Linked DNA regions of Diceros bicornis minor. The protein of the gene in region 1 interacts with the protein of each later gene in a pairwise test. Links are inferred from orthologs where the notes say so. Each region holds a gene or a part of one and is shown in the gene's direction. Other genes may lie near its edges.

Region 1 (7,663 bases):
TTCCAAATCACTTAATCACCCCTGCCAATCTGTCACTGACCATGATCTTCCCACAGAACCCCAAGGCACTCAGTGACTCCACAATCCACTCCTCACTTGACCTCCATTCACTACAAGTGTCCTCCAATCTACTCAGGGACCCCTGACCCCCATCTGCTCTGTGATCCACGCCCCCGTGCCTTCCGCCCATTAGTGTCTCTCAGTGGGTCCCAAATTCATAGCAAGTTTGCAGCAACTAGTGGAGGTGGGAGACTGGGAAGGGTCTGAGAATCAGAGTTTCAAGGGAGAAAGGAGGAGTATGAAGTTAAAGATAATGACTTGTGAGGGACAGCACCAGACCTTATGGACACTCCTGCCACCCTGTCCCCCTGGGGGCAGGAGAGCTGACATGGGCTGGGGCTGAGCAGGGCTGAGGGGGAAGGTATTCTGGACCTATACTCCTGCTTTGAAGTAGGAGTGGGTTAAAGCTGGGAGGTTGGGGAGAGAGGCAGGAAGAGAAAGAAGAAAGCCGAGACAAAGAGAAACAAAGAGAGAGAAGGGGAAAGAGAAGAGTGAGGGAGGCTGGGATGGCCATACCATCACTAAAGGTTGCAGACCTCAATGGCTGACTGGACAAGCCTCTCTCCTCTTTTCCCACATTCCCTCTCCCTGCCCCGAGCTTCACAGAGCCTCAGAGACTCACACGCTTTCTCAAAGCACACATGCCACATGTGTGTGTGTGTGTGCGCGCGCGCACACGGACCTAAGAGCTGTGAGGCACTGTGTGCCTTTACCTAAACAATACTTGTGGTGCAAGCCTAATACACACTTTCACACACCCCTTTCACACACACATACACAAACACACACGGATTCCCCGCGTTTCAACCTTTCACACTTCCCACTCTTCCATCCCCATCATCCCCAGCACACAAACAGCACATTCCTATACACGCCCACTACTTTTGCCCCCATTCACAACCAGACACGTTCACACCTCTCTCCAGGTACATACTCACCATTCCCCTTCTCACTCCCCCACCACACTACCTATCCCCCCCCAAAACCAACGCCAGTAGTCCTAGTTTTCTGACTCTGCCCCAACCCTCCAACCACAGGCCTGAGGTGAGCTCATTTTTTCCCTCTCCTTCCTCCACTCCAGATGGCTTCCTCTCCAACTCTACCAGATTTGCAGGTGGGAGGATAGAGTAGGTTGAGGGCAGCTCTCCTCACCTTCAAGAGACCTCAGGAAAGAGAATTTGCTCCCCCCTTTTTGTCTTCAGACCTCTTGGCAGTTGAGAAGTCCTACCTGTTGTCAAACCCACATCCCTGCTGCTTTACTGTCAGTAAATGATTGTTCCATTTGTGAGGCATGGAGGGTTGAGGAACAGTGAAGTCCTCTTGCCTACAACTTCTGCTCACATGGCATCTGATAGGCACCTGGGTTCTGGCACTAAGTTTTGGGTCCATAAATTTAAGTGAGAGCTAGGTGTCTTTGGGGGTTGGGGCTGGGGTGAGGAGGACAGCTCAGGCATAAGAGGAAGGAGAAAAGCTAGAGGCCCGGAGGTGCAGAACTGATGGTGGACCTCAGCCTGGGTTTCAAAACTCTGAAGAAGCATCTTTTGAAGGGAAGACTCACTGGGCTTCACCTTCCTGGAGGTCAAATAGAGGAGCACTGACACTGCAGCAGGAGGAGGGAGGTTAGACAAGAGGGAGTACTTCCATAGACTTAAGGAATGAGGGGGCGGTTTATCTTCTCTGAATAGGAGAAATCCCCCTACTTTTATGAGAGACAGGCCCATCTGATGCGGAGGCAGAAGAGGAAAGAATGACTCCATGAAATTCTGGGGCCTCCCAAGATCACCACCACATCCAAGAAAAGATATCAGTGTCCCCACCCAATTCCAGGGCTCTGGGTCCCTAGTTTCTGGCAACAAGAGGAAATCCAACTTTTTAAACCAGAAATCTCAAGAGATGGAGTGCCCCAGGGGGATGAGGGCTGTGCAGGGGAGTGGCATCTTCCCCTCCTCCATTCCGGATCTCCCTGCAAAATCCCCCCAACCCCCAGCACTCCGGGTAGATGAGGTGGGATGTGGAGTAAGGGGCCCCCTGGCTCGCCTCCCCTCTTCCCCTGCCAGCAGCCGGCCTCCTCCCTCACTCACAGCCGGAATGCAGCTCCTCTATTGTTCCCCACGGTGGGACAGCTCCTCCCCTGCTCCTCCCCCACCCAACACCTCCCCAGCCCAGCCCCCTTGCAATTGCCAAATCCCACCCCCCACACACTCCCCTTTGGGAAACCAGGAGAGGGAAGGGTCCCCAAGACCCCCTCTGCTCAGTCTGGACCCTCACCAACACTCCCACCCCCACTAGCCCAGAGATGCTGGAACGGAGGAGGGTGTGGTATCAGACATACTACACTGGATTAATTCTACACCCCCTCACCCAACAACACACCCAGACAGACACACACCCTCCACCAAACCTCCAGGGAAAGGTTTCTTACCCCCCAGCATGACCCCCCCCCACTCTGTCCTACTCTCTCAGGACCAGAGACCCCCTCTCCAGGCCTCTGGCCCCTGGCCGTGGCCAGCCCAGAACAAAAGCTTGAGAGGGAGGAGGAGAGGTCCACGCCAGGACGTGGCACTTCGTTGGAGGCACCCCTTCCAAAACCTCACAGACCGTTCAACTTTGGTGTGTGGGTGACCACAGGACTCCCTCCTCCCAGCAGCCCCCTCCCCACCTCTCCCCCTGGCTGGGACCCTCCCATGAGCCACACCCCCTTCCATTCCTACACTTAGCCCAACAAAGAGACAGATAATCTGGCTTCCCGGGCCAGGTCTCCCTCCAAGTCTGTAACTCCAGGTGGCTGAAGGTCCCAGGGGTGCCCCCTCCCCAACCCACTCTCAGATATCAGAGTAGGGGCTTCTGAGTAACTCTCTGCACATTCCACCAGTTTTTCCGGCTGGGAGTGGACACCCCCTCCGGACAGCCTCCCTGGATTGGGAGACCGATTCCCCCTCCCTTTTCCCTCTCTCTATGAGAGGATATTTCTTTGTCTAAGGGCAGAGCCCTGGGGGAGGAAAGATCTGGAGGACAGTCCCGACTGGGGGTAGCAGGGAACTTTGTGGCACTTGGAAATCAGGGTAGGGGGCGGGTCCCCCTTTGTGGGGAAGGGACCGAGCCAGAGGCAGGCAAGGAGAGAGGAAATGAACTTTCTGCGCTAGGATGGGGTGCCCCCCACTCCAGTCCCTCTCCGCGGTCCGGGCGCCCGCTTACCTTGCCTGCCCACGATCTCGGCCACGTGCTCGGAGGTGGGCACGGGTACACACTCGGTGGTGTTGCTGCTGCCCTTTAGGCGCAGCTCGGCCTCTTTGTAGAGAGCGCAGAGCTTGGCATCGCTGGTCCCTTTGGGGGCGGTGGGGGGCTGGGGCGTCTGCGCCGCGGGGGCCGCCGTCGGGGCGGCCGGGGGCGCCGCCGGCGGCGGCGGCGGGGCCGGCTGCGGGGGGGCGGCCTGCGGCGCGGGGGCGCCGCCCCCCCCACCTCCCCCGTCCTCGCCCGCCGTGGGGGCGGGGGGCTCCCCCAAACCCAGGAGGCAGAGTTGATCGAGAGCCAGCTGAAGGGCGCGCTCGTCTTCCAGCAGCCCTCGGTCCTTAGCGCTTCCCCCGAAACATCCTAGTTCTCCAAAGCCCCCATTTCTTTCCATTATTCCAGATACCACTAGACTAGGCATGGCGAAACAAAAGCTGGGGGAGAGAGAGAGAGGGAGAGAGAGAGAGGTGGTGGAAGGGAAAAGAGGAGAGAGGAGGGGAGGGGAGAGGAGAGGAGGGGGGTGTGTGGGGAGGGGGAACAAAGAACTGGGGAGGGGGGAAGAAAGCGAGATAGAAAGATAGACCCTCCCCCTAAGCCCCCCTCCCCAAACACCCTGTAACCCGACTCCCCTCGCCCCAGCCCCCAGGGTGGGGGTGGGGGGAAAGAGAAGCAAAACCCAGAAGGCAGATCTCCTCTCCTCTCCGGGGCTGACGGGGGGCGGGGGGCTGCGGGATCTCTGCCCCCACCCCTCCCGCCTCGGACCCGGGAGTCTCTAGACCCCGCCGTCCAGACGCCCCCGTTAGGCTCCCGTACCGAGCCCCAGTCCAGGAGCGGCGCTCAGTGGCCCCCAATAGAGCCCAGCCCCTTCCAGCGCTCAAACTCTTTTGTTTTAAATGAACTGGATGGAGCAGCATGGAACTGACGGGAGGGGGGCGCGCCGGGGGCGCCCGGGGCATGCCGGGAGTTGTAGTTTCCCGCTCTCGGGGGCGCAGGGACGAATTCCTTGACCCGAGGAGGATAGGGATCTGCCTTCGGTCTTTAACCACGGCTCGGAGGCAAAGCTGGGGGTGGGATGGAAGTCGAGGTCCCTAATTTTTCCAAGGCGCGGGCACGGGAGAGGAATCAGTGTACAGAAAAGGAACGGATTGAAAAAAGGCTAATGGAGCGCGCCCCTCTCCCAAGACGGGCTCTCTCCGGATCCCGGCCAGTCTTGGGTCCCTCTTTCTTATGATAATGAGGGGGGGCGAGAGGGGGGGGAGCAGTCCCGGCTGGGTCACTGCGGCTTTCTCTGTCTTTACCCTCTTCCCCCTCCCTGCTGCGCTCCCTCTCCGCTCTCCCCCTCCCGCTCTTCCAGAGTCGATCCCGGCTCGGGGCCGCGGGGAGAGGTTCTCCGCAAAGCAGACAAAGCCCGCAACCGCGATGCGGGGAGAACCCGGCTCTGCGCGCTGTGGGGACCAGAATGCGGTGCCAGGCTGGAGGGTGGGACCCCCTGGCAAAAGACGGGGTCCTCTCATCCTCAAGCGGCAAGCCATCCCCCCTCATCCCCTCCCGCCCCCCAGTCTCGGAGATCTGAGAGGCACCGACTGGGAGGTGAGTTAGTTCACGTCCTTCTGATCAGCGGAGGGGAGCTGGGAGGGCTGTGGAGTGATGAGGTGAGGAGGATGAGGGAGTGGAGGGAGAGGAGAGAAGTGGGGGGCAGAGAGCGAGGAGGCAGGGGAAGTCTTAAAGGCATGATGTGACTTAACAGTTTCGGGTGAGAGCCATAAGCTTTGAGTGCGACAGGAGGGAGGAGACACGGGATCGACTGAGGACCCAGACTTCCTTCAGGCCTGGGCCATGCATACAGCTTGGAGGTGATCTGTTCCTTAACCTCCATCATCATTCCACTTTGCCTCGCCCATGTCTCCCCCATTGGAAACCCATTAATTCAGCTTCTTTGACTCTGGAAATTGGTGAAAGTAAAAATAAGTTTTTAAGGCATGAAATGGACAGTTGGGTACTTTTAGGGGGAGTTTGGGGAAGTTGGAGTGTAATGCAATCTTTTCTTCTCCCCTTAGCCCATATCTTCAGCATTTATTTTTTGTCACCCTTTTTATGCCTGGGTCTTTCCCAAGAGGAGAAAGGATAGCACTGCAGCTTGAGGGCTTGAGATCAGACTTTAAGAAGAACTTCCCAAGAAGAGTTTTATACGAATGGGTGGGTGAGCTACAGTGGTAAGCTGTCCTTTTCTGGAGTGCCTTGGAAACCAAAAATCTGAGCTAGTTTGTGAGGTAAAGTCCTGCTTGGAGGCAGGGGAACAGATGAGATGACCTCATAGACCTGGCACTGTGAGGCCTTGAGGGCTGAACTGCGAAGCCCAGTTCCCTAAATTGATTCTTGGAAAGAAGAAATTTGCACACCAATGGGAGGGTGGGAGCCAAGGTGGAGGATCTCAGGAGGGGTTGGGGGTTGGCTCTTGCTCCTTTGCTAGGCAGAAGATCAGGGAAGGGGAGCCATGACTGAGGAACCCCAGAAGGCCCCAGAGTTGGGGAAGGGTCCCCTCTGGATCATGGATTTAACATAAGATTAACTACAAACCTTATTGTGGGATTGGGCGCTACCGCCACCAAGCAAGAGCAGGAGAGGAAGAATTGGAGAGACAAGGCCCTGTGGGAGTGGGCTGTCCCTACTCTCGTTCCCTTTCCTTCTGCCCCAGGAACCTGGATTGGGGGAACTGTGGTACTCGGGACTGTGGGGCTCTCGTTGGGGTAAGGTTCCTGCTCTGTGGACCAGGGAACTGGTTTTCACATTAATAGAAATAGCCAACAGTTGCACAGGACTGATTGTGTGCCAGGCATTTTTGTCTCCAGTTGGTCTGAGCCTTCCTGTCCCTCTAGACACCCACCCCTGAATTTGCCCTGCTTCCACTTTCCTCCCCACTAAGCTAATTAAAGCGGGAGGTTAATGACCAAAGAAGCCTTGGGGATTTGGCTGGGGAGGAAAACAAAGGACAGAAACAAGTGTGTGCGAGCGGGGAGGGGGACAGCTGCTGAGTGGGAAGGGGTAGACTGAGGGGTGGGGTGGGGAGGCTGCGGTCCCTGCTGGACCCCCCTCACTGATCCAGCAAGGACAAATCAGCCCCCTGGGTGCGTTCTTTTGCCACGTGTCCACCCTCGGTGTCCCGCTGCGACTCCAGACAGATATCCAAGGCAGGAGAGGCGAGCGGGACCTGGCACGTAGAGGGCAGGCTGTGTGTGAGCACTTAGGTCTGTGGCGTGGGCAGACACATGGGAGTGTGTGCCTGCAGATTGTGGGGGTATATCCACCACCGCCGGGACTACCAGAGCGCGAAGGTGGTGGAGGAGCCCGAGGGTGGGCACCTTGAGGAGCCGGGTTCTCAGGGGGGGTTTTGATGTGTCCTTGCCTCGCTCCCAGAGGCCAGTGGCCTCCTTTGTGGAGGTGACTTGTGTTGGCCAAGCTAGGTTTCTGTCCATGGGCCCTCCTCTTCCTCCCTCCCCCTGCCTGCTCAGTCTAGAATTAAGGCGTGAGGGCCAAACGCCTTACCTAAACAATTTTGCTTGGAAACAGACAGCTGTGCCCACTCCACCCCACCCCTCACTCTCTGCCTTATGACCACAAAGTTGTGTAGTGGCATATCTCTCCTCTTCAAGACCCTTGGAGGAGAAGACTGTGTCTCTCATCTTTGTCATTGTCCCCCACCCTGGCCTCCCAGTGCCCAGCACATGCCCCTGCCCAGAGCAGATGCTCAGTAAAGGTGTGTGGAGTGTAACTGCATGTTCGAAGCTTCAAGGTGTAAGAGGAAGGAGGAGGCCTCAGAGCCAAACATGCTGCTTCTTAGTTCTGCTCCTTGGGCAAGCATTTCCCAATGAGTCTCAGTTTCCTCATCTCTAAAATGGAAATAATAAGCCAAGTCCCTAGCGCGGTGCCTGGCTCCGCTTAGGTGTTCAGTCAGTGTTAGTTTTCCAGCTCCGGTTGTTCTCCCTTTGCAGTTGACTTTAGCTAGACTGTGGTCTTCATTAATTAATTTTCATTAATTCATTCAGCTAACCACCTCCTATTGAGTGCTTAGGATGTGCTAGGCGCTGGAGGAGATCCTGACCCACTGTGAGTCACTTGAAGTCAGTTCTAAATCTACACTTGCAGAAATAAGATCATCCAAAACAAACAGCAGATAATTCCAAAAATAATTCCTGTTGAGCACTGGAATGCAGGTGAACTCTCTCTCTCTCTCTCTCTTTCTCTCTCTCACTCTCTCTCAGACACGCGCGCGCACACACACACACCGGCCAGGCTCCTGGCCTCAGGCCTGAGGATCAGAGGACGCTGTGGAGTTTTTGAGTTGGTTGTATGTGCAGTGTGTGTCTATGTGCAAGAG
Region 2 (7,976 bases), on another chromosome or scaffold:
TCTTGAAAGACACAAACTCCCAAAACTCACACGAGGAGAAGTAGATTATCTGAATAGGCCTACATATTAAAGAAATTGAATCAATCTTTAGTAACCTTCCGAAAACCTCTGCATCAGGTGCAGATGGTTTCACTGGTGAATTCTACCAAACATTTAAGGAAGAAATGATACCAATACTCCACAATCTATTCCAGAAAATATAAGTAGTATAAACACTGGATAACTTATTCTATGAGGCCAAAATTACCCTAATAACAAAACCAGATAAAGACATTGCATAAAGGAAAATTATAGACCAGTATTTCTCTTGAACATAGATGTAAAAATCCTCCACAAAATATTACCAAATTGAATCCAATAATACATAAAAATAATTTATATATCATGACAAAGTGAGACTTATTCCAAGTATGCAAAGACGGTTCAACATTTGAAAATCAGTTAATGTAATCTGCCACGTGAAATTGCTAAAGAAGAAAAAATCATATCAATTGATGCAGAAACAGCATTTGACAATATCCAATGCCTATTTATGATTTTTAAAAAAAGCAATTAGGAATAAAGGGGAACTTCCCTCAAATTGTTAAAGAGTATCTGCAAAAAAACCCTACAGCAAACATTATACTTACTGGTGAAATATTGAATACATTCCTCCTAAAACAAGGAACATTGCAAGAATTTCCAATATCACCACTCTCATTCAAAGTAGAGCAGGAAGTTTTAGTGCAATAAGGCAAGAAAAGGAAATTAAAGTCATACAGAACAAAAAAAAAAAACAATCCCTATTTGCAGATGACATGATTATATACTTAGAGAATCCCAAGGAATCTATAAAAAACTCCTAAACCAATAAGTGAGTTCAGCAAGTTTGCAGAATACAAGATCAACATACAAAACTCAATTGTATTTCTATATACTAGCAATGAACACATGGACACTAAAATTAGTAATACAATACTATTTACAGTGACTCAAAAAAAAAAGAAAATACTTAAGTGTAAATCCAAATGCTGAAGAAAGAAAACAAAGAGGGTCTAAATAAGTGGAGAGACCGTGTTCATGGATTGGAAGACTCAATACAATAAAGATGACAATTTCCCCCAAATTAACATACAAGTTTATTGCAATTCCTAGCAAAATCTCAGCAAGACTTTTTGTAAATACAAACAAAATTATTCTAAAATTTACACAGAAAGGCAAAGCAACCAAAATAGCTAAAATGATTTGAAAAACAAAAATAAAGTGTATGGAATCAGTCTACTTGATTTAAGACTTCATATAACTAGTATAGTAATGAAGGGATGTGGTATTGGTGGAGGATAGACACATAGATCAACGGAGCAGACTGGAGAACTGAGAACTAGATCCACACAAATATGCCCAACTGATTTTTGTCAAAGGTACAAAAGCGTTCAATGGAGGATAGGTATGTTTTTCAACAAATAGTGCTGGAGCAAGTGGAAATCCATAGACTAAAAAAACACAAAAACAAAAACCTTGATCCAAGTGCCACATCTTATACAAAAATTAACTCAAAATGGATCACAGACTAAGATGTAAAACAAAACTATAAAGGTTTTAGAACAAACATAGGATTAAATATTAGGGTTTAAGAACGAGGGGTTCTTAGACTTGACACTAGAAGCACAATCCATAAAGGGAAAATTTGGTAAATTGGACTTCATCAAAATTAAAAAGTTTTGCTCAGTGAAATACCCTGTTAAGAGGATGAAGAGACAAGCTACGGAACAGGAGAAGATATTGGCAAACCATATATCAAAGGACTAGTATCTAGAATACATAAGGAGTTTTCAAACCTCAGTAGTAAAAAAGCAAACAATCCAGTTAGAACTTGGGCAAAGGACATGAAGAGACATTTACCAAAGATATATTGATGGCAAATGAACATATAAAATATAAAATGATGTTTAAAATCATTTGCCATTAGGGAAATGCAAATTAAAACCACAGTAAAATAGCACAACTATTGGAAAGGCTAAAATAAGAAAGAGTGACACCACCAAATGCTGTGAGGATGTAGAGAAATAGGAGACACTAATACATTGCTGATGGGAATGTAAAATAACACAGCCATATAGTAAGTGGTTGGTAGTTTATTTAAAAGCTAAGCATGCAACTACTACATGACCCCAGCAATTGCACTTTTAGGCATTTATCCCAGAGAAATGAAGACACACAAAAACCTGTACAGGAATGTTGAGAGCAGCTTTGTTTGTAATAGCCAAAAACTGGAAACAACCCAGTGAGAACACAATTCAGCAATGAAAAGGAATGAATCATTGATACATGGAACAATCGGAATGATTCTCCAGAGAATTATGCTGAATGGAAAAAGTCAATCTGAAAAGGTTACACATTGTATGATTCCATTTATATAACATTCTTGACATGGCAAAATTATAAAAGTAGAGAACAGAGTCCTGGTTGCCAGGAGTTAATCAGAAGATGGGGGTGAGAGGGAAGTGGCTGTGTTGATAAAAGGGATTCTGGTAGTGATGGAAATGTTCTGTATCTTGACTCTATCCATGTAAATATTCTGGTTGTAACATTGTACTATAGTTCTGCAAAATGTTACTAACCGTGGAAAGTTGGTAAGGAGTAAATAGGATCTCTCTGCATTATTTCTTACAACGCATGTGAATCTACAATTATATTAAAATAAAAATTTAATTTTAAAAAATCAAAAGAAGCATAATATTTTGTGATATGAGAAAATTACATTGAATTCAAATTTCAATGTCCATAAATCAAGTTTTATTGAAACAAACAAAAAGTTGGTCCTGAATTATGAAAACCTATCTTAAGGTCAGTTGATTAGCAACATTTATTCTATCTGCAACCTTAATTCCCCCTTGCTATGTAACAAAATATACTCACAGGTTTTGGGGATTAGGAGTATACATTTTGGGGGTATCATTGTTCTGCCTACCACAGGTAGTATACTATAAACACCTGTCAATCACTCCATAGCGGTACATCAAGATATTTCTCATTTCTTTTTATAGCTACCTAGTATTCTACTAGGTAGAAATGTCATAGTTTATTCAGTCAGTCTACTATTGATGGACATTTGGTTTGTTTCTGGTCTTTGGCTTGAATGCCTCAATGAATAACGTTGTGCATATATGTCAGTTCCTATTTTTGTCAATATATCTTTGGGGTGGATTTCTAGCAGTGATATTGCAGGGAAAAAGGGTGAACTTACATATGTAATTTTGCTATATATTATTACTTTTCCAAATAGAGGTTGTACCATTTTGTATTCCCATCAGGAATGTATGAGAGTGCATCTTTTCTCATGAATAGAGTATATTGTCAAACTTCTGGATTTTTCTGCCAATACAATAAAATGACTAATGGCACCTCAGTGTAGTTTTTAATTTGTATTTCTATATTTTGAGTGAATTTGAGCATATTTATAGATGTTTGAAGGCTGCTACAATTTCTTATTCTGCCAACTGTTCATTTCTTTTGTCCATTTTCTCCATTGGGTTATTCTCTTTTTAGGAAATATTTTAGTAGCTCATTATATATTAGGGATATTAGCCGTTTGTGATACATTGCAAACATTTTTCCTGTCATTTGTCTTTGACTTCTTTATGATGTTTTTTGACAAGCATTACATTTATTTTTATTTAGTTAGATTTATCAATATTTTTTGTTGCTTTTGAATTTTGAATCATGGTTAGATAAGATTACCCTGTTTCTAGGTGTTAGAATTATTATGTTTCTTCTAATACATGTCTGAGCATATTTTTTACATTTGTGTAAAAACGTAAAATAAATTCCACATTTGGAATCTACCCCGGTTGTGATGTGTGGTGGGAGATATTAATCTAATTTTACCTTTGACTAAATGTCTATTAGTTGTCCCAATACAACTTATTTGTATGTCCTTCATTTCCCCATTTGATGTGAGATCCCATCATCACCATATACTAAATATCCATATGTACCTGGCTTTATTTTGGGTCTATTCTCTCTGTCTGTTCATGCACCATATCCCGCTCTAAACTGTAGAGGCTTTATAATATGTTCTAACATCTGATAAGGTTGTCCCTCCCCTTTGTTCTTTTTCAAGGGGTTTCACGGCTATTCTTATTTTCCCAAACTTTATAAATTAATTTGTCTAATTCTACAACAGAATGTGTTGATACTTTTATTATAGATTGACCTCTTTATTGAGTCTTTTTAGCCAAGAACAGCATATGGCTTTCTATTTGTTTAAGTTTACACTTGGCACTTCCAGAGTTTTTTAAAAAAGTTTTCCCCATATAGGTTTTGCACATTTCTGATTAAGTTTGTTCCTAGTAATTTTGGTTGTTGCTATTATAAATACAGTCTTCCATTATATCTTGTAACTGTTTATCACTGGTCATTTGCATATATGAAGATAATTGATTTTAGTATGTTAATTTTATATCTTGCTGCTTTACTAAATGATCTTTTTTATGTAGTTTTCCCATTGAACTCCGTGGGTTTTCGGATATATAATCATATCAACGCATAAAAGAGAACATGAGGAGAATCATTGAAGGTGAAACAGCAGGCAGAAACCACCAGGTTGCCCCTTGATTAGCGTGTGTAGAAAATCTTGGTCCCTTCATCATCGTGAAGCCTTGCTGAGTCGGGAAGGACTTGGGGAGAACATCCCTTTGAGGCACCTTGAACCTCAAAGGTGCAGAAACCCAAATAAAAATGAGAGTGAAGCAGCATGGGATTTGCCTATTTCAGATCGACTTGCAAGTCTCGACCACCCTTCGGGTCAGGGGAAGCGGGGATAACAACCAGGCACACAGGAGGAGAAACAGAAGACACTTCCGTGTAACCGCAGGCCTTAGAATCCTCAGCCGTCCTCTCGCGAGGGCGGGGCGGGGGTGGGGGGACGACGACCGAGTGGAGAGCCCCTCCCTCCTCCTTCTTAGAGCAGCGGCGGAAGTGCACTACGCGCCGACCCGGCTAGCCGGCCCTTCGTGCTTGGGCGCCGTTGCGGCCTTTGTGGGTCGCTCTTCTTGGGTTCTGGCTTCCGAAGGGGTTCGAGGCCTCGGCCCGTAGTCCCGGGAGGAGGGACTCCTCTGCTGGCTCCGGGGCTGCTGGTGAGCGAGCCTGTGCTCGGCCGCGGCGGGGCGTGGGGGGCGGGATATCACGGCGTTCTTGCGCCTGGGCCCCTCCGGCCGGCCCAGGCTGGAGCGGGGCGCCCTCCGGTTCTCGCCGGCCCGGGCGGGTCCGCGACAAGCTCCCGAACACAGAGGCCATCCCTCCTCCCTCGGAGGGTGGGTCGGAAACCCGGGGCTGAGGGGCCCGCCCTCGGTCTCTGCGGAGTCCGGCTGCGCCTCGGGCCGTGTACCCTTCTCAGTTCGGCGCCTCCCGACATTTCTGGACCTTCCTGGGTCTCAGACGCCGACCGGCGGCCTAGGGCCCCTTTCCTGGGCTTGCCTTACTTCAGATTTAGAATCATAGAATGTGAGGGTAGAGGAGGGCCTTAAAGATCACCATCTCCAGCCTTTTCGCTTTATAAATGAAGAATGAGGAGCGGAGAGATTCAGTTCCCGAGGGAGTAAATTCATGTGACTTTGCTGTTTCATGACATCATGGTTTTCACCAGACATCTGGGCATTTAAAAAATAAAAACAGCTAATCAAGGATGTCTCAACTTTTTATTATCATTGTTTATTTGCTCTGAATGTTGGTTTTATTCCATTTAATTGTCCTTTTTCTAGAACTAAAGGGAAATGTTCCTACCAAGTCTTACTCTTTCTTCTTCAAGTCCTGAAACAACTTAACACCTTTTACCTAATCTTTCTCTTTAAATTAGTCTATTAAATCTTTTTTATCAAAGTATTTCCCTGAGTATAGTAAATTAACCTGGAGGCGGGTTTCAAAGCACGTATTTAAATTCTTAGAATTGGCAATTTTTGACTATGGTGTAATTTGTGTTAACAATGATGGCTTCTTCCTCAAGTCCACCCAGGAAGAAACTTACCACTGGAGATCTTGCTTGAAGCACTGATACAGCTTTTGCAAAGCTGTGATGGCATCTACTTGGGCTCTCCAGGCCGGCAAGGACCAGGATGAACTTTTGGAAGTAAAGATAGAGGAGGAGGAGCAGAGGGAGGAGGAATATAAGGATACCACCAGACAGGATCAGAACCTGCAAAAGAACAACATGCATAGCAGAGAGGTCTTCCGACAGTACTTCAGGCAATTCTGCTACCAGGAAACATCTGGACCCCGTGAGGCTTTGAGTCGACTGCGGGAACTTTGCCGTCAGTGGCTGAGGCCGGAGACCCACACCAAAGAGCAGATCCTGGAGCTCCTGGTGCTGGAACAATTCTTGACCATCCTGCCCGAGGAGCTCCAAGCCTGGGTGCAGGAACAGCATCCAGAGAGTGGGGAAGAGGTGGTGACTGTGCTGGAGGATTTAGAGAGAGAGTTGGATGAGCCAGGATATCAGGTGAGGAAACAGATGTGGTTTCTGTTTGAGAAAAGATGAATTATGGATTTCTAGGCCAGAGTGAAGTACAGTAAAGTGTGGTCTTGACACTTTGGTGCATCAGAAAGGGGCCTGAGTGTCATGAAAAACTGGTTAATGTAGTCCTAACTTAATTATACCTTTTCTGTGGAAGGATCATGTATTTCTGTACTAAGCTACAAAATTCTCTGATAAAATGCTGCTCAGAAACATTAGAAACAGAAGATTTAGAAACAGAAGTCTTCTAGGACAGAGAGAAAATGTTAGAGAGATGACAGCAGCCTCTTGAAAGGGGCATCACTTCTGTTGCTCAATACAAATAATTAAGAAATAAGGTTTTGCAGATATATCCACTGCCCTGTCTCCATTAAAGGAATAAAAGGTGGAGAAGTTAATCACCATCTCAGAGGAATGAGATATGGGAGCAGAGTAGAAAGTTAGGAGGGAGGGGCAGGTTGGAGGATCCATGTTTGTTTGAGTGGTAGAAAGCCTAGTTAGGTTGGAAAGGTGAGTTGTGAGAAGAGTTGAAAACAGACAGTCCAGGACCTTGAATATCAGCCCCTGGAGTTTAGATTTTATTCTGTAGGACAGAGACTCCTAACCTTTTCTCTTTGAGTCTAAATGAGCTTTATTAAACCCAAGATATGAAAGAGAACCAAATTATGTAGGACCTTTTTGTTTTGTTTTAACATTGATAAAAGGCAGTGGTTCTCAGCCAGTGGCAATTTTGTGCCCCAGAGGGCATTTGGCAGTATCTTGGGACATTTTTGGTTGTCATAATGGGGGCATACAGTTGCTAAAGGGCAGGGATGCTGCTAAACATCTTACAATGCATAGGACAGCCTTTTTTTTTTTTTGAAATAATTATTTATTTATTTTTCCCCCAAAGCCCCAGTAGATAGTTGCACAACCTTCTAGTTGCTGTATGTGGGACGCGGCCTCAGCATGGCTGGAGAAGCAGTGCGTCGGTGTGCGCCTGGGATCCGAACCCGGGCCGCCAGCAGCGGAGCGCGCGCACTTAACCGCTAAGCAACGGGGCTGGCCCAGGACAGCCTTATACAAAGGAGAATTATCTGACCCAACTTGTCAATAGACCCAAGGCTAGGAACCCTTGGTATAAAGAGTATGAAACAGTGAGATAATAAAACAAAAAGTGTAATCTAACGTTGGGGTACAAAATAGACTGGAGAGGGAAGGAGTATGTGGCAAAAAGATCTAAGTTTGAAATAGAGTTATGAAAGTGTGGTTACAAAAGATGAGGCATGTCTTAGGTAAGAATTAACTGGAAATGATGACAACTTAGATGTATGAAGAAGGAAGAATGAACGGAAAACTCTTTACTAAGCAATCTCTTCTAGGCTGTGCACTAAGGATTTCAAGCTTGAAAGACTAGCGTAATGAAGACACTCCTAACAGAGTTCAAGACTGTAGAAGAAGTGGATTGGGGGAGAGTTCATTCGTTCAGATATTTATTGAATATCTG

Evidence for each region. The genes of interacting proteins can lie anywhere in the genome.
Region 2: the proteins of LMNA (region 1) and ZSCAN12 interact in binary tests that used the Homo sapiens proteins (3 or more experiments, as listed by UniProt). The link is inferred for Diceros bicornis minor from reciprocal best matches to the Homo sapiens genes LMNA and ZSCAN12.

Annotation. Positions count from the first base shown.
Region 1 is NC_080743.1:59,724,830-59,732,492, forward strand, and holds the start of LMNA (lamin), read left to right. Parts: upstream 1-4,652; 5' UTR 4,653-4,878; intron 4,879-7,663. Other genes in the region: RNA-binding protein MEX3A, read right to left, coding at 3,256-3,709.
Region 2 is NC_080753.1:38,485,195-38,493,170, forward strand, and holds the start of ZSCAN12 (zinc finger and SCAN domain-containing protein 12), read left to right. Parts: upstream 1-4,975; 5' UTR 4,976-5,117; intron 5,118-5,983; 5' UTR 5,984-6,052; coding exon 6,053-6,475; intron 6,476-7,976. UniProt on the Homo sapiens protein: May be involved in transcriptional regulation.